4 separate regions of the Mus musculus genome follow, and regions 2, 3 and 4 are each reported to be linked to region 1. The links are microRNA targets in miRTarBase. Many come from high-throughput screens and were not tested one by one. Region 1 holds a microRNA gene; each other region holds the end of a gene's coding sequence. Distances are between the middles of the regions.
Evidence for each region. Region 1 holds the annotated microRNA mmu-miR-466p-5p (UAUGUGUGUGUACAUGUACAU, at 1,941-1,961, shown strand). A microRNA usually pairs through its seed, bases 2 to 8, with sites in the 3' UTR of a target mRNA and lowers its output. Matches are read on the target gene's strand: a 7mer-m8 pairs with bases 2 to 8, a 7mer-A1 pairs with bases 2 to 7 and ends in A, and an 8mer does both.

Region 2: the mRNA of Slc5a8 is a reported target of mmu-miR-466p-5p. Seed matches in the 3' UTR shown: 7mer-m8 at 573-579 and 8mer at 1,926-1,933.
Region 3: the mRNA of D630003M21Rik is a reported target of mmu-miR-466p-5p. The part of its 3' UTR that is shown has no 7-base or 8-base seed match.
Region 4: the mRNA of Steap2 is a reported target of mmu-miR-466p-5p. Seed matches in the 3' UTR shown: 7mer-A1 at 2,232-2,238 and 8mer at 2,805-2,812.

Annotation. Positions count from the first base shown.
Region 1 is chr2:10,504,080-10,508,699 of GRCm38, forward strand. Mir466p (microRNA 466p) reads left to right here and starts at 1,927; the gene lies at 1,927-2,015. The region is part of intron 10 of Sfmbt2 (Scm-like with four mbt domains 2); the gene reads left to right. It overlaps Mir467e (microRNA 467e), which reads left to right and starts at 1,642; the gene lies at 1,642-1,728. Mir467d (microRNA 467d) reads left to right here and starts at 3,551; the gene lies at 3,551-3,635. It also overlaps Mir466.
Region 2 is chr10:88,926,032-88,930,031 of GRCm38, forward strand. Slc5a8 (solute carrier family 5 (iodide transporter), member 8) reads left to right here. Exons shown (of 15, transcript NM_145423.2): 15 at 179-3,484. The coding sequence ends at 304. Among named protein-coding and RNA genes, the nearest start is that of Slc5a8, 42 kb to the left of the region's middle.
Region 3 is chr2:158,192,236-158,196,235 of GRCm38, forward strand. D630003M21Rik (RIKEN cDNA D630003M21 gene) reads right to left here. Exons shown (of 14, transcript NM_177657.5): 14 at 3,513-4,000. The coding sequence ends at 3,726. It overlaps 1700060C20Rik (RIKEN cDNA 1700060C20 gene), which reads left to right. Exons shown (of 3, transcript NR_036606.2): 2 at 1,876-2,033; 3 at 3,120-3,502. Among named protein-coding and RNA genes, the nearest start is that of 1700060C20Rik, 2.2 kb to the left of the region's middle.
Region 4 is chr5:5,670,185-5,674,184 of GRCm38, reverse strand. It overlaps Steap2 (six transmembrane epithelial antigen of prostate 2), which reads left to right. Exons shown (of 6, transcript NM_001103156.2): 6 at 489-4,000. The coding sequence ends at 776. All of the region lies in intron 1 of Gm40262 (a long non-coding RNA gene), which reads right to left. Among named protein-coding and RNA genes, the nearest start is that of Gm40262, 7.8 kb to the right of the region's middle.

The DNA.
Region 1 (4,620 bases):
TGTGCATGTGTGTTTACTTGTATGTGCATTATCTCTGTTGACATGCTATATATAACATAAACACACGTGTATATGCAAGCACACACACACACAGGAAAAAATTGCATTCATTTATACGTTTGAATGATGTGTGACTTAAAGTTTTCAAGATTATGCAGTAGTGGGACAGTGAATGGTTTTACTCACCAGGTGTGAAAGATTGTGGATCAGGAGTTCTAATTCATGCTTTACTTCATGATGACTTAGAGATATGCCTGGGATTCATGTGATGCCCCCTATGTATCTCTATCTGTATCTGTTTCTATTGTGTGTGGATTTGAGTATATGGATGTACCTATCTACACAAATATATACATGTACACAGACACAAACAGAAACACACACACAAACATCAGTGCAACTCATCGATCCATTTGAATGATATGTGATTTAGAGTTTTAAGATTCCTCAGTACTGAATGGGGAGAGGTCTCACTCAGCAGGTGAAATCCCTTGACAGTGTCAGTTGGATCAGGAGTTCAAATTCGTGCTGAATTTCATGATGAGTTCATGATTAGCATGGGATTCATCTTATGCCCACCAAAAATGTGCAAGTGTGTATAGTTGTGTGCATATTCACTTCTGTATATGAATATGCATATACACGCATGCACACACATTCATAGGAATGGCCAGAGCTATGTCTCAGTTAGGAGGTGAGCACTCTTGCCAGAGTCAGGAGGATGACGAGTTCAAATTCATGTTTAACTCACATTGAGTTAGAGATCAGCATGCGATTCGTGTGATGTCCTCCAAATATGTGCATGTGAGTATAGTTGTGTGCATATTCACTTTTATACATGAATATGCATATATACTCATGCACATACACGAATGTCACTCATATATTTTTTTGAATGTTATGTGACTCAGAGATTTAGAGCTTATGCAGTACTGGTCCAGAGCTATGCCTCAGTTAGGAGGTGAATACTCTTGCCAGAGTCAGGAGGATATGAAGTTCAAATTAATGTTTAACTTCATGATGAGTTATAGATAAGGCTGTAATTTATGTTTTTGCCTCTGTGTACGTGTATATGTCTATAGGTAAGTGTGCTTGTACATGTGGGTATATGTATATGCATATATATACACATATATGGACACATACATGTGTACACAAATACACATGGCAATCATCCATTTGATTTATATGTGCTTAGAGTTTTATAGAGTGCATATTCATGGGACAGGAAACATCTCATTAATCAGATGCAAACCATTTGCCAGAGTCAGGAGGATCTGGAGTTCAAATTCATGTTTAACTTCATGATGAGTTAGAAATCGTACTGGATTTATGTGATGGACCCTAGGTATGTGCATGTGTGTGTAACTTTGTGTGAATGTACATGTATGCATATAATTATACATATACATACACATGCATGCACACATACAGACTTGAATACTCACACACATAAGTATGACTCTCATTGATCAATTTGAATGATATATGTCATTGAATTTTATTGATTATGAAGTAGAAGGACACTGAATGGTCTCACTCAACAGGTGTAAAAAATTGACAGTGTCAAGAGGATCAGGTGTTTAATTTCATGCTTAACTTCATGAAAGAGTGGTGCAATGTGATGGTCCCTATGTATGTGCCTGTGTGCATAAGTGTGAGCATGTATATGTGTGTATATTTTATGCATATACATACACACACCTATATACACATGCACACAGACATGCGGGAATGGCCCTCACGGATCCATTTGAATGATATGTGACCTACTGCTTTGGAGGTTATGTATGACTGGGCCAGAGTGAGGTCTCACAAACCACGGGAAAACCCTTGGTAGAGTCGGGAAGATCAGGAGTGCAAGTTCATGGTAAAGGCATGATGAGTTAGAGGTCATCCTGGCATTCATGTGATTGCCCCTATGTATGTGTATATGTGTTTATGTGTGTGTACATGTACATGTGTGAATATGATGATATATACATACACGCACACATAAGACACATATGAGCACACAGACACACAGGAATGGCACTCACTCATCGATCTATGTGACTGTGAGCTTTGGAGATTATGTATGACTAGATCAGGGAGAGTTATCACCCATCATATTAAAAATGCTTGTTTAAATCAGGAGGTCAGGAGGTCAAATTCATGCTTTATTTCATGATGACTTAGAGATCTGCCTGGGAATCATGTGATGCCCCCATGTATGTGTATATGTGTGTAACTGTGTGTGGATTTGTGTACATGAATATACATACCTACACACACGTAGACCCATACACAGACACACATATGAATGCCACTCCTCAGTCCATTTGAATGATATGTGACTTAGAGTTTTAAGATTCCTCAGTACTGAATAGGGAGAGGTCTCACTCAGCAGGTGAAATCCCTTGCCAGAGTCAGGTGGATCAGGAGTTCAAATTTGTGCTGAATTTCATGATGAGTTGGAAATCAGCACGGGATTCATGTGATGCCCACCAAGAATGTGCATGTGTGTATAGTTGTGTGCATATTCATTTCTCTATATGAATATGCATATGCACACATGCACACACATTCATAGGAATGGCCAGAGTTATTTCTTAGGTAGGAGGTGAATAATCTTGCTAGAGTCAGGAGAATATGGTGTTCAAGTTTATGTTTAACTTCATGATGCATTAGAGATCAGCATGTGTTTCATTGATGCACACCAAAATGTGCATGTGTGTGTAGTTGTGTGCATATTCACTTCTCTATGTGAATATGCATATACACACATGCAGACACAGGAATGGCACTCATATATCCTTTGGAATGGTATGTGACTCAGAGCTTTAGAGCTTATGCAGTGCTGGGCCAGAGCTATGTCTCAGTTAGGAGGTGGATGCTCTTGCCAGCGTCAGGAGGTCCCAGAGTTCAAATTCATGTTTAACTTCCTGATGAGTTACAGATCAGCCTGTTATTCATGTGATTGTTTCTGTGTATGTGTATAGATAAGTTTGTCTGTACATGCGGATATATGAAAAGACATATATTGACACATATTCACACATGCATGCATACAGAAACACATGGCAGTCATCCATAAGTTTTATATGTGCTTAGAATTTCATAGAGTGTATATTTATGGTACAGTGAAATATCTCGCCAACTAGATGAAAACCGCTTGCCAGAATCAGAAGTCTTGGAGTTCAGAATCATGCTTAACTTAATGATCAGTTAGTGATCATCCTGGATTCGTGTGATGGACCCTAGGTATGTACATGCACACATAATTTTGTGTGCATGTACATGTGTGTATATGATTATACATAACACACACACACACACACACACGTATAAAAGCAAGCACACACACACCAAGGTATGGCATTCATCGATCCATTTGAATGATATATGTCTTAGAATGTTACTGATTATGCAGTAGAAGGACAGTGAATGGTCTCACTCACAAGGTGTAAACAATTGGCATTGTCAGGAGGATCAGGAGTTCAATTTCATGCTTAACTTCATGAGCAGTTAGAGATCATCCTGGAATAATGTGATGGCCCCTATGTATGTGCCTGTGTGCATAAGTGCGCGCATGTATATGCGTGTATATTTTATGCATATACATACACACACCTACACACACATGCACACAGACATGCGGGAATGGCCCTCACGGATCCATTTGAATGATATGTGACCTACTGCTTTGGAGGTTATGTATGACTGGGCCAGGGTGAGGTCTCACAAACCACGGGAAAACCCTTGGTAGAGTCGGGAAGATCAGGAGTGCAAGTTCATGGTAAAGGCATGATGAGTTAGAGGTCATCCTGGCATTCATGTGATTGCCCCTATGTATGTGTATATGTGTTTATGTGTGTGTACATGTACATATGTGAATATGATATCCATATACATACACGCACACATAAGACACATATGAGCACACAGGCACACAGGAATGGCACTCACTCATTGATCTATGTGACTGTGAGCTTTGGAGATTATGTGTGACTAGGTCAGGGAGAGTTATCACCCATCATGTTAAAAATGCTTGTTAGAATCAGGAGGTCAGGAGTTCAAATTCATGCTTTATTTCATGATGACTTAGAGATCTGCCTGGGAATCATGTGATGTCCCCATGTATGTGTATATGTGTGTAACTGTGTGTGGATTGTGTATATGAATATACATACCTACACACACATAGACCCATCCACAGACACAGACACACACACGCATGCCACTCCTCAGTCCATTTGAATGATATGTGACTTAGAGTTTTAGAGATTCTGCAGTACTCAATAGGGAGAGGTCTCACACCACAGAGTCAGGTGGATCAAGAGTTCAAATTCATGTTTAACTTCATGATGAGTTAGAGATCAGCATGCTATTCATGTGATGACCATAAAGAATGTGCATGTGTGTATAGCTTTGTGCACATACACTTCTCTATATGAATATGCATATACACGCATGCACACACACTCACTCACAGGAATGGCCAGAGCTATGTCTCAGTTAACTTACCAGGTAAAACGCTTGCCTTTTGGATCAGCAGTTCAAATTCCTGAATAACTTCAAAATGACCTAGGGATCAGCCTGGCCTCATGGCATCCTCCCCCCATATATGTGCATGTGTGT
Region 2 (4,000 bases), not on the chromosome of region 1:
GCTCAAATGCATATCGTATACCACGCTAGCTTCTGCTGCCTTGTGTATGTTTGCATTTCACTCTCCCTTAGTGGATTACCAAGCTGATTTAGAGAAATAAAAAGTTGGTATCAGTTATCTGTCATTGAACAAATAATGATTTTTAAAAAAAATTTCCATGTTACCCTTTATCTTTCAGAGGAATCATGTTTTAAACTATAAATTGCATCCTGTGGAAGTTGGTGGAACTGATAACCCTGCCTTCAACCATGTTGAGCTGAACTTCACAGATCACAGTGGCAAGATCAATGGGACTCGCTTGTGAAGCATCTCCAGGGCTAGATGACATTGTATAATGTCTGTTTTGTTTTTGTTTTGCTTTTCTTTAAACATGTTTTAGGATAGTTGGATCAGATCAGTTTTTTCCTATCATGATTGTTTTTGGAAGATATATTTTATTAAAGCCAAATCCCGATTTGGCTCACTTTATACACTGGTTGATTGATGCTATCCTGGAGTTAGGAGTTTCAACACGAGCTCTGGTTGTGGATGTTTATAACTACATACATGTGTGAAAGGCAAATACAGACATACACACATGGTTCTTGATAATCAAAGGCATATTCTTACGTTTGGGCATTACTGAAAACATTTTACATGCCTTTGGTGCTAGTATATGTATATTCTGGGAACTTTACTAGAATAATAAATCTTGGAAAGAGATTTCTTTCCTCCCCCTGAATATCCTGTTTCTAGGCAGCAGGGACAGGAGGAGGAGTAGAGCACTTCTGTGGACTTTACTTCTGGATCAGCCCATGCTATAACCTTGCCTCTGAGTCTGCCTCTGAATGGGTAAATAGCAGCATCCTGCCTAGGATACACTAGGTACCCAACGATCAAGTTCATCTTTAATGCATTCTTGTGCCTGTTTTTCCTCTGCTGAGATTCCTGACAATTGCCAAGTACAGTGCTTTTCATAGACTATTGACTATAGATTATAGACCATTGACTGTAGACTATCAACTATCGACTATAATTTTTAATCTTTATTCCCAACTTCTGTTCTAATAACCTTGCTTTTGTAGAGCATGTTACCTGGACTTAACTGTTCCAGCTTCTTGCTTTTTGCCCTGGGTTTAGATATGTCTTGAGACATCCAATATAAACTATGTCACCTCTTTCCTTCAGTCCCCAGATCCCATCCTGTGCTAACACATGCTTCTTGTGTATTGGGTAACCCAAGAACATTAAATATTTGAAAACGGTGAAGTCCCATGGAGTCGCACAATTGCTTTTAATGCTGTTAAGTTGAATTACTAATTCATATAGTTAAAGAACTTCATAGGGAAATACTTCTTTATTTTTTCACATGTTTCAGGTTATTAAATGCATGCTTTTTTTCTATTTTCTAAGATTTCAAGCAGTAATTTCAAAGTTCTTAGCCATTTATTTGGCTACATTCATAGCTAAAACTTGTGTTACAGAGTTTCATCAATAACTTATTTTTCTATGATACCCACATTAGATATTGCTTAAATTTTTAAAAAGTTTTCAATATTTTAAGAAAAGAAATACTGATATTTTAAAAATAATTCATAATTTTATACATATTTTTGGTCTATTATATTTGAAGGCTATACTATTTACTTTTAAAGGCTCTTAACTGATAATAAAAACTAAAATATCAAAAATATTAGCATTTATCTGAAACAAAGAGATTTATATGCCATTTGAATCAACTATGTATTCATGTATTTCTTATGTATATAGATCTATTTATTGATTACTATATTTGTAAACAAAAATCAAGTTTTGTGATTATCTTGCAGTACTCTAATGAGCATGGTTATGTAATTTTATATATGTAATCTTATATAACTATGATTTGAAGTATAGTTATTTATTAGATGATTCTGAAAAAAAATATACATATACATACACACACACACACATACACATGATGCTTCAGTTTTGGCAATGAGAATCAGGTTATTTGATTAACTTTTTCTTTGATCTGACTGCACAAAGGTTACTCAACGTGTTCTTCATGAGAAGTGGTATTCCAAACGAGTTTGTCAACTTCCTGTAAGACAAAGTATATCCTTGTGAGATTTGGAAATACCACTGTCTTATTTTTACAAATGCACAGGAATGCCAGATAGAATTCTTAAAGTCAAAAGATGTTGCTATTACTTAAAAAGTATTTATTTTTAACTTTTAAAACATGGGACTAATATAAATATGAGGGATATGTCAGCATATTACAATGTAAAGTAAATAATCTTTTCTTAGTTTTATTAAAACACAAAAACCTTAATGGAAGAAAACAATTGTACAGGTTGTCTGTCAGTGTCTTGCTGCTGACAAGTATGCCTTTGACTTTGCCCTTAATTTCATTTAATGCTGATATAAGAATGAGGCTGCCCACCTCAAAAAAGTAGTGTGAAAGACCTGAGTTTTGACAGACCAGGATTTCATTAACTCAAGTGATTTGAGGCAAATATTATTTGCTAGGTTTTTTTTGAACTAAGAAGAATCTTTACTATCATGAAGTAAAAAAAACAAAACAAAACAAAAACAAAAACAAAACCCTTCCCTAAAAAATATGTGCCACAGGAGTAAAAATACATTTGAGAATCAACAGGAAAGACTATAAACCTTAAAGAAAGACATGATTCAGTCCTATTCATCCTACAGAGAGGTGAAAACTTTATAGGTCAGGTGTAAAACATCACAGAGTCATGTTATCAGTAAGTGGATTGTTTGCATGCTCTCTTTTTTTCTCTTGAGACCAGTAGTTACCAGCATGGGTCATTGTGTTTCTCTGGTGACATGTGGAGACATTTAAGTGTCCCCAATGAGATTGCTGGTGCCATGTATGGAATTAGGTTCAGGAAAGTACCATTAGCACTCTGGATAATGACCACACACTTTCAGAGGAGTCTGAAATGTGAACACATTTTCACAAGTCGTGGGTAATTATTTAGACCAGTCTTTGGCCAGCTCAGCTCCTTTACGTGGTTTCTAATATGGCCCCACATTAGGATGTTATGAAATACATGACTACTAAGATCTCTGAACTTCATCTTACTTATGGAAAGCACACGTCATGTGGTTTGTTTCATGAAATAAGCTGAACATATGATGTAGACACATTGGGTAGGGCTGAGCTTGAGAAACACTGAAGAACTCTGTGAACTGATTCCCTCTGAATCTTCCCATGAAGATTGTTGATAAGGAGGCAACCAAGGTAAAGGGCTGCGGTTCAGCGGTAAAACTCTTACTGAGCTTGTGCAAGATCCTAGGCTTCCTTCCCAGCATCACTGAGAACGGGGGCAACCTAGTGCATGTCCGTTTAGCTCTTAAAAACGCATTGGATGCATTTAGAGTCAACTTTTGTACCACTGTTTGTGAAAATATTGGGAAAGTTGAATATTTCTATGTAAAATATGGTTACAAACTTATTTTTTTTTCAATTTGCTGATTAAAATTTCCATAAAAATCATTGCAGTTATCTGTTCTTGGAGTAAGAATCTGATTGGATATAATGAGCATTATCAAAGGCATTTCCTGCCTATTTACTCCGTAAGGGACTCTCTTGAAGTAAATACTGTGTATACGTCATAAAATATGAAAGCAAACGGACTTGTACAACTTTGTCATCGAGGACCATTTTATATTTTAAATAACATTGTATGTGAAGGCAGAAATGCCGGGTTTGCATGCTGGCTGACTGTACCTCAAACAGCTGTGAATGAAAGCTTGGTTCACAGGGTCGAATTCCTGGGAGACGGCCGAGGCTGTGGGGAGCAGGGTCCAGTGCATGTCTTTAGATCATAAGCATTGATGCCCTCAGAAGTGATTGTTGTGTGTATGCCATCATCCTTACTTCTGTTTCTGATGTGTTAAAGCTCTGACCACTTGCTTCTCTCCCCGTCCCAGCTATGATGAGTCATTTTCGTCAGAGGCTGAAGCACACGGCCGCTTCAGCTATGCCTTGAACTTTGAGAACTATGAGCTC
Region 3 (4,000 bases), 150 Mb from region 1:
CCAATTAATTTTTTACTACCACAGAAAGGCTTAGTGCTGAGCTTGGTGATCCAGATATCAGTGTCTTGACCCAGCAGGCTTGTCAACCCATTTGATAGATGGGAATATGGAGAGTAGCCTTCTACTGAAAACACCAGGCTAGGGAGCCTGGGTTCAAGGCCACAGCTTTGTGTTTCCCAAGGTGGAAAGGGTTTCCATCCAATCCAGAGCACCCATTTGATAAATAAGGGAGTCTGGCTATCAGAGATAAGGAGCCATTTGCCCAGGGTTGCTTTGACATCTCAGGCTATGATCCTTCAGCTGTCCCCAGCCTCCCGTTTCCTCGGGCAGGAAAGGGGCCCCGAGACAGTGGGGTAATTGGTCACATCGCTGGCCTACTTAAGGGTCTGTATGAGCTCCACTTTTCTTCCCCCACAGCAGGCTATAAACCTTTGCCTAAAGTCCCATGGAGGAACACCACAGCCTCCATCTCTCAGAGCAGCCTCTGGGGACAAGGCTTTGCTATTTGAAGCTGTGGCCACGGGGCTACTTCACATGCATGGGAACTCTTTGCCATGTTTCCACCTTGCCAATAAATTAAGTCCCTGTGGTCTTCAAGAGCCTACTGGGGATTCAGAAAACACAGGAAGCCACATGACTTGGAAAGACAGAGTTGGGGGAGTCAGTAGGGGATTTTGCTGGGGCTCTGAAGAGAGTGCTTCCTGGATATTCCAGGTAACAATAACAGGGGCTGGCGGGGCTGGTGCCAAAGCTATGCATCTAGCTACCATTTAGTGAGCAGTTACTATGTTCCAGTGTCTATCTGAGGAATTCCCACAAGCCAACTCCCAGCAAGCCTCTGAGGCCCTGCAATTTTCAATCTACAAGTAAGGAAACCAAGAAACAGAGAGGTACTTCATTTAGCTAAGGACACACAGCCTGTGACTGATGCAGCCTGGGCAGTCAACTCAACTCAGGTCCTCATGGTTAACCATTCTCTAGGTCTGCTCCTGTTCCACCAGAGGTCCTGGTGTAAGTACAGCCCAGAGAACCAGGACTCCCAGCACATGCTTATGGCCAAGGACAACAGGAACACAAAAGAGACAAACCCACAGCCACCGGCACCCAGCAATCAGATCAGTGTCACATGTAAGGTCCACATCAGTCACTTGCTGTCACATCAGAGAAGACATCCCTATGCCCCTAAGAAGTCTTGGCTTCCTCCTCTGGAAAATGATAGGAAATTGATGCCGACTCCACAGGGCTGTGGGGATGCAGTCGGTCAGCTGAGCAGACTTGCAGAGTTTTTAAGGATCTCAGCACAAAGCTGGATGCAACCGAGACACCAGCTGATTCCTCGTTTTTTTTATTGTTAAATTCTTGCGGGTATACGCACGTGCACTTGAGAGCTATTGCCTGTACACATGGAGGCCATACGTGGACGTCCCCACCTTGCTCTGTCTCTCACGGAACCTGGAGCTCACTGATTCAGCTAGGCTGGCAGGCCAGTGAGCCTGGGGCCCTGCCTGTCTCCTCCATCCCACTGCTCAGGCTGATAGGCATGTACTGCCACGCCACACTGGCGACCTGATGCTTGCACAGTAAGAACTTCACAAGCACTTCACCCACTGAGCCATCTACCCAGCCCCTCCTTTGTTTTTGAATATCATTCCCCCATATTCTATGTCTATGCCCCTTCTCCCGAGGAGCCGCTGTGAGCAGGTCAGTAATTGAGGTTCAACCCTTTTTGGAAACAGGAGAATGTGCAAGACCTTGGGGGCCCCTCCTACCTAACGATCCTAGGCTCACCCATCCTTCCCCCCTCCCTCATCCTGTCCTCATTCCCAGCAGTGGTTGTGGGTCTAGCTAAAGGCAGTTTGCATTCTTTCTCCCCAGGTTTCCTGCACCAAGCCTGTGGTCTCCACTGGCTGGATGCTGTTGCTATGGTAACAACGGCTTAAGAGCCTTAGGCCCCCCTCTGGGGTGACAGGCTTGGATGGAGATGGCTGATCAAATTCCTGGAGCATCCTCAGCCTTCTGGATGCAGGGCTTGGGTGAGGAATGCTAAGCTGAGCTGCCTGGAGTCTGGAGCCCCAAGAACTTCCCGAGGGAACCACCCTAGGTTTCCAGAGTCCCCTGAAATTCACGTGTTGGAAACTTGAGAGATGGAGGTGGAAAGGTCAAAAGGGTGCATGCTGTCCTCCCTCAAGATTAACGTGGGAGTGGGCTTCTCATAAGGATGTGTTTGGCCCTTCCCCCTCTTCACATAAGCTCCATCTACAGGTGACACCTGCACTGAAGGTGGTTCTCACAAGAGGCAGCCCCTTAATCTTGGACTTCCCAGTCCCTAAAACTGTCAATCCAAAAAACTTCCATTGTTTGTAAGTCATACAGCCCATGGCGATCTGTGATAGCAGCAGACTAGACCGCAACCACCTAGAAAACACGGAGCAGGTGGCCCCAGTACAGCCTCCAGCCTCCCCCAGGCTCAGAGCCTGGTTTTAGTGTGTCTACAGAGGGGATGCCAGTCCCTGGGCATCCTTCCTTACAATCAGTTTTACTGGTGGGTCTGAAGCAGGCAGACCTCAGGCTGTGCTTAGAGAAATCCACAGTCTTAGAGAAGATTCTTGAAGCTGTTTGGGGCTGAGATGTCTCCTGAGGCACCTCATCTTCCCAAGCATTGTTCAGGCTTTCTCTGTCCCTGTCTCATCCTCACTCGTGGCAGAATAGTTATCCTACTCTTCTCTCAGGGCTTGGAAAGTCAGCTGGGGCTGCCAGGAGGCCATCTCAGGAGTGAAGCCGGATTTAGAGCCCTGTGAATAGTTCCAGCATGTCAGTGCTTAAAGGTGGCGCTAGGGGGCGCTATGCAGCCCTGTAAAAAGCTAGGTGCTGTAGCTCTAATAGTCTTTGTTCATTGTACCCACCCTCACCAGCTTTCAAAGACTGTACTACCCCCCCCCTCCACCGTTTCCCCTGATGATTCAGCACAGCTGGCACTGAAAGTGGGATTGGAGATGAGGTAACACTCCCTGGGGCGTCGATGGATCGCAAGGACAAGATTTGGTGTGGTTCTTTGAGTCTGAGCTGGGGACCCTGGTCCCTGGGGAGAACTCTGCATCAATCAGTTTCTTCCCCTCCAGGTTGCTGCCCTTTGCCCACCAGAGTCAGCTCCTGGGAGTATGCATGCTGTGATGCTCCACCTCAGACGGGCGTCTCAAGAGTCCAGCTGTTGTCCTTGCTGTCTCCTGATTGGCCTCAGCTGGATGGAACTTGCCTGACAAATGCTCTTAAATTCCCTCCCTCTGCCTATCCTCCTCCCGGTGGCTCCTGGGGTCACTGCCAAATGCAAAGTCCTTGTTTTAGGGTCTGTTAATCTAGGGCTCAAGACAAGAGGCCCTGCCCACTACTTTGTTATCCAAGTGAGTGGCAGTTTGGGCTGCCTAAGGACAATTCCTTGACAAGGTAACCCCGGCCAGCTTTGCCATATGAGACTCTGCAGTCTCAACCCTCAATAAAACAAAAACAAAAACAAAAACAAAAAAAACTCCTTTTATTGAGTCTGGATTCTAATTCCCACACGCACTGTTCAGTGTGGGTAACAATCCATTGTCTTGGAGCTTTCTGGAGCCAGAAGGCGGTCCTAACATTGCACCATGGCCATGTTTGATGAGGTGGCATGGGCTCTGCAGATCCCTCTGTCAATCCTGTCACAGCCCCCCAGAGCTGGTGTGGTGGTTCAGGTCCAGTTAGAGGGACGCAGGAGGACTTGTGTGGGGTGAGTCCTCCAGGGATGTCTGTGATCCTGTCCCTTCTGAGGAAAAGCTTCCCCCAGTTGGACGGGAGGCCTTGCTCTGCTTGGGAAGGTGGGGCCAGGAGAAGAGGGAGGCAAGGAGCCGCTCCAGGGTGGGATCGGGGAGCTTGGGGGTGCCCCTGACTTCCTCAGTGTCCCCAGACTGGCCAGGTTCTGGGGATAGCAGGCCTGCCCACATGTTTCTGCTCTGCTCCCCTTGAGGGGTCCGCT
Region 4 (4,000 bases), not on the chromosome of region 1:
CTTCTGTACAAACCTTGATAAAACATGGACACCAGGCATATCTTTACCATTAGAGAAAAGCTAGATGCGCTGATCACTAATCCTAGTAGTAGAATCAGTCCAAGGATAGAAGTCAGAATATACGAGGGCTACAGTGGTATTATTTATAGTTGAAGAAAGTTAAGATCAGAATGATCAACACAAAGGAAGGGTTAAACTGTAACCATTCAAATAAAACCACACAAAATTCATGATGTGTTTTGATAGGGCACAGAAAACCTTGTGATATAATGAATTAGTTAATGAGATTATTCAGTTTATTCAACATGATCTGATTTGTGCAAGATTGCTGTACTGCAAATAAGTGTATAGGAATTTATGCAACTGCCTTAAATTGCCCAATTCAGAAGACAGTAGTTCACTGAAGATTGAAAAATCAACAGGGTATCTGCAGAGGTTGTTATGTGGGTGAGTAATGGACCTCTTCTCTCTTCCTCTCCCATCTCAAGTCTACGCTTGGCTACGTCGCCCTGCTCATCACGACCTTCCACGTGTTAATTTACGGATGGAAGCGTGCGTTTGCAGAAGAGTACTACCGCTTTTACACACCACCAAACTTCGTTCTTGCCCTCGTTTTGCCCTCCATTGTAATTCTGGGTAAGATGATATTACTCCTCCCATGCATAAGCCGAAAGCTAAAACGAATTAAAAAGGGCTGGGAAAAGAGCCAGTTTCTAGACGAAGGCATGGGAGGAGCGGTTCCTCATCTGTCCCCAGAGAGGGTCACAGTGATGTGATGACAAGAGGTGCTCGCAGAAGCCACACACACTTCCATCCATGCCATTACTTTAGGCCCTCGCCTTGGTCCCTGTCAGCGGGCTGTTGATTGGCAGTCCTGCAGTCTGAAACCTGCAGTAAGTTTTCAGCAGAAGGAGAGATTGGATTCTCTTCAAGTTAATTTTTATAAATGTCATATTTTTCCAACATGCAATTTTGTAGTCCACATCTATTGTTACAATCTAGAAATTTCCTTTGTGCAACTGTAACACTGTTGTTCTTTTAACCATATTGCATAGTTGGGCACAAATATTTGTACTTAATAATACAGATGAGATATAATGTTTAGAACACTTGGCAAAACAGCAGAATTAGAAGCTTTTAACATTACTCAGTGGACATGCTCTTTCCCCAAGGCTAAAGATTTTAATTACTATTCAATTTAAGGAGCAGAAATGCATAATCATATATTATTGAGAAGGGGCACATCACATTAGCATCTAGGGTATGCAGGAGCAATCTTATGCTCTCATAAAAATGGGACAGGAAGGATGTCATCCATTATACACAGCACTGTGAGTATGTGAGCACAAATTAAAGACAAATGAAAAATTGTATTGAATGTGCACTGGAGATACAACATACCAATGCATAACTCACGAGAGCTTTAGTCTCTATCACATTACAGAACCCTTCCATCTTCCTGTTTATGTCAATCGGGAAGGATCTAGCAACACTTGACCTCCCAAGCAGGTACTCTGAATACGGTATTGTGGGCCTGTCCTTAGTTACAATGAAAGTAATTGTCACACGTCAGTCTATATGTTACTTTGGCCAGTCACCACCCTTCCTGTGTGGATTTTATCGACATCCACTGAGGGAGTATGGAATGGTTGTAAACACTTGCCCAATTAATACTTACAACAAACCCATGAAATAGTTATCTTCATTTCCCATATGGAAAACTGAAGGACAGAAGAATTAAATTTTCCTGAGGTCACACAGTGAGCAGCCATCCTAGGGAGTCATTCGTCAGGACCCACGGCTTTATAAACATCAGTATACACAACCCCCGATCCATCTCCATGTACTACATTCTCGACGCCAGCCTTGATGGTTCCTTTCTGGTAGAGTCATTGGCAGTCTTTGGAGTATGTCGTGTGCATCAAAGGATATCTAAAAGTATCTCAGTCATAATTTTATTATTACTTGTGGGTAGTCCATAGTTGCCTGGAAACCCATAGTAGCACAAAGCCTCCCCATGCAGTGCAGACCGAGCAGGGAGAAGGCTCCTAACAGTGTGGATGAACTATTAAGATCCTGTAGCTCTTTAAAATTTTCCATAAGGTGGCCATGTCCTTTCTCCTCCTGAGAAGCCCCTCCCTTTACTGCTGTTCATTAGGAAACTGTTTTTAAGCACAAAGGATATTAGGACAAGTGGTTAATTATAAATCTATATGATTATGTGTCCCTGGACACATAATTAACAAAATTTGTCAGTGCTGGTCTTCCTTGTGTAAACTGCATTTTGTTCAAACATTAGGGTATATTACATTTTCTCCATTTGTTCCTTTTTTATTACAGTAAAAGTTCTAGACAAGATGTAATTGTGTGTATTCTTCCTAAAATTGTATCACCTCTAAAGTTACCTACTGACTTGAATCCAACCATCAGAAATAAAAGGACTCTTATTTTTGTGGAACCTATCTTTCCCACCATTGTCTGTTTTCCTATCCTTGTACTGCTGGCCTGGAAAATAGCCCACTACTCTTTGATGTTGTCTTCTTGGCCAAATGTAATATTGAACACCTCATCTTCATTATATTAATCATAATCAATTTTTGTAGGAATTCAGTACATTCATGACTTTTAACAGTAAATACCAACAAGCTGGGTGTGGTGGCTCATGCCTTTAGTCTCAGCACTCAGGAGGCAGATGCAGGCTGTTCTCTGTGAGTTAGAGATGAGCCTGGTCCACACTGTGAGTTCCAGGCCATCACCGCGAGACACTTTCTAAGTACATACATACATGCTTACATACATACATACACACATACATACATAAGTACAAAGCGAGACACTAAGTACATACATGCATACATACATACATATGCAGTGAGACACTGTATAGCACATACATACATACATACATACATACATACATACATACTTACATACCGGTACTGTCATGAACTAGTGAAAAATAGCAATGTGTTTTTAATACTTGCTTACTTCTTGAACTTTACTGTAAGGCAATTAAATGTGGAAATACAATGAAATATTTCTAAAAGTTAGATGATTAAAGTACATTGTTATGCATATGATAGGAAGCCTGTAATATAAAATTATTGCTAATATACATACATGGGACCTTTGAAAATATGAAATTATGTAAAAGCTATGAATTTAATTTCAAATGACACTTTTTCTTTGGAATGCTACCAAAACGGAATAGCTTTCGTTTTTAGAATAAATGTAATATAGTCCTTGCAATTCTAAGTGCTGAAAGGCCTGACCTCTGGGATGGAGAAGTCTGACCCCTGGGATGGATGTGGGGTCAGAGCACGGACTCGTTGTCCTCTGACAAGCACACTCATGGTCTCCTTCCTCCTTTTCTCTGTCTCTGTCTCTCTGTGTATCTCTCTCTGTCATACACACACACACACACACACACACACACACACACACACACACACACACGTCAATGAAATAGAATTTAAAGCTTTTAGGGGTGGAGAGAAGGTAGGGAGACTTTAAGGGAGTGAACATGTGTTTCCTGATGTTTGTCTTGAGTAGGACAAGAGACGAAATGATGGGAGTGTAGAAAACAGAACCCGTCTCAGTCCTCTGTAACGACAGCCAAATAATTTTTCCTGAGGGAAAAACCCATATAACATGTATCATGCTACTTAACTTTTGTGCAGATTTCTTCTCTCCTTTATTAAGAATATTTAAAACCACATTTAAATAATAAATGTATCCATCCATTTTAAGAAGATACACTGAAATTTAGCTCAGAGAATCTCCATGAGCTTTCTATTTAAAATTTTAAAACATTATAAAGTGTGAGTAAATTTTGATTATTTATCAGAGCTAATTATTTTGTACATTATAGAAGGTGCTGATGTGTCCATGTGTAACTGCTGGATTCTTATAAATAAGCATAACTTCAAGTTTGACTGAAGAATTTTACTTTCAAAATTAATTATTAATTTGATAAAAATATATTCCTACTTACAGTTAA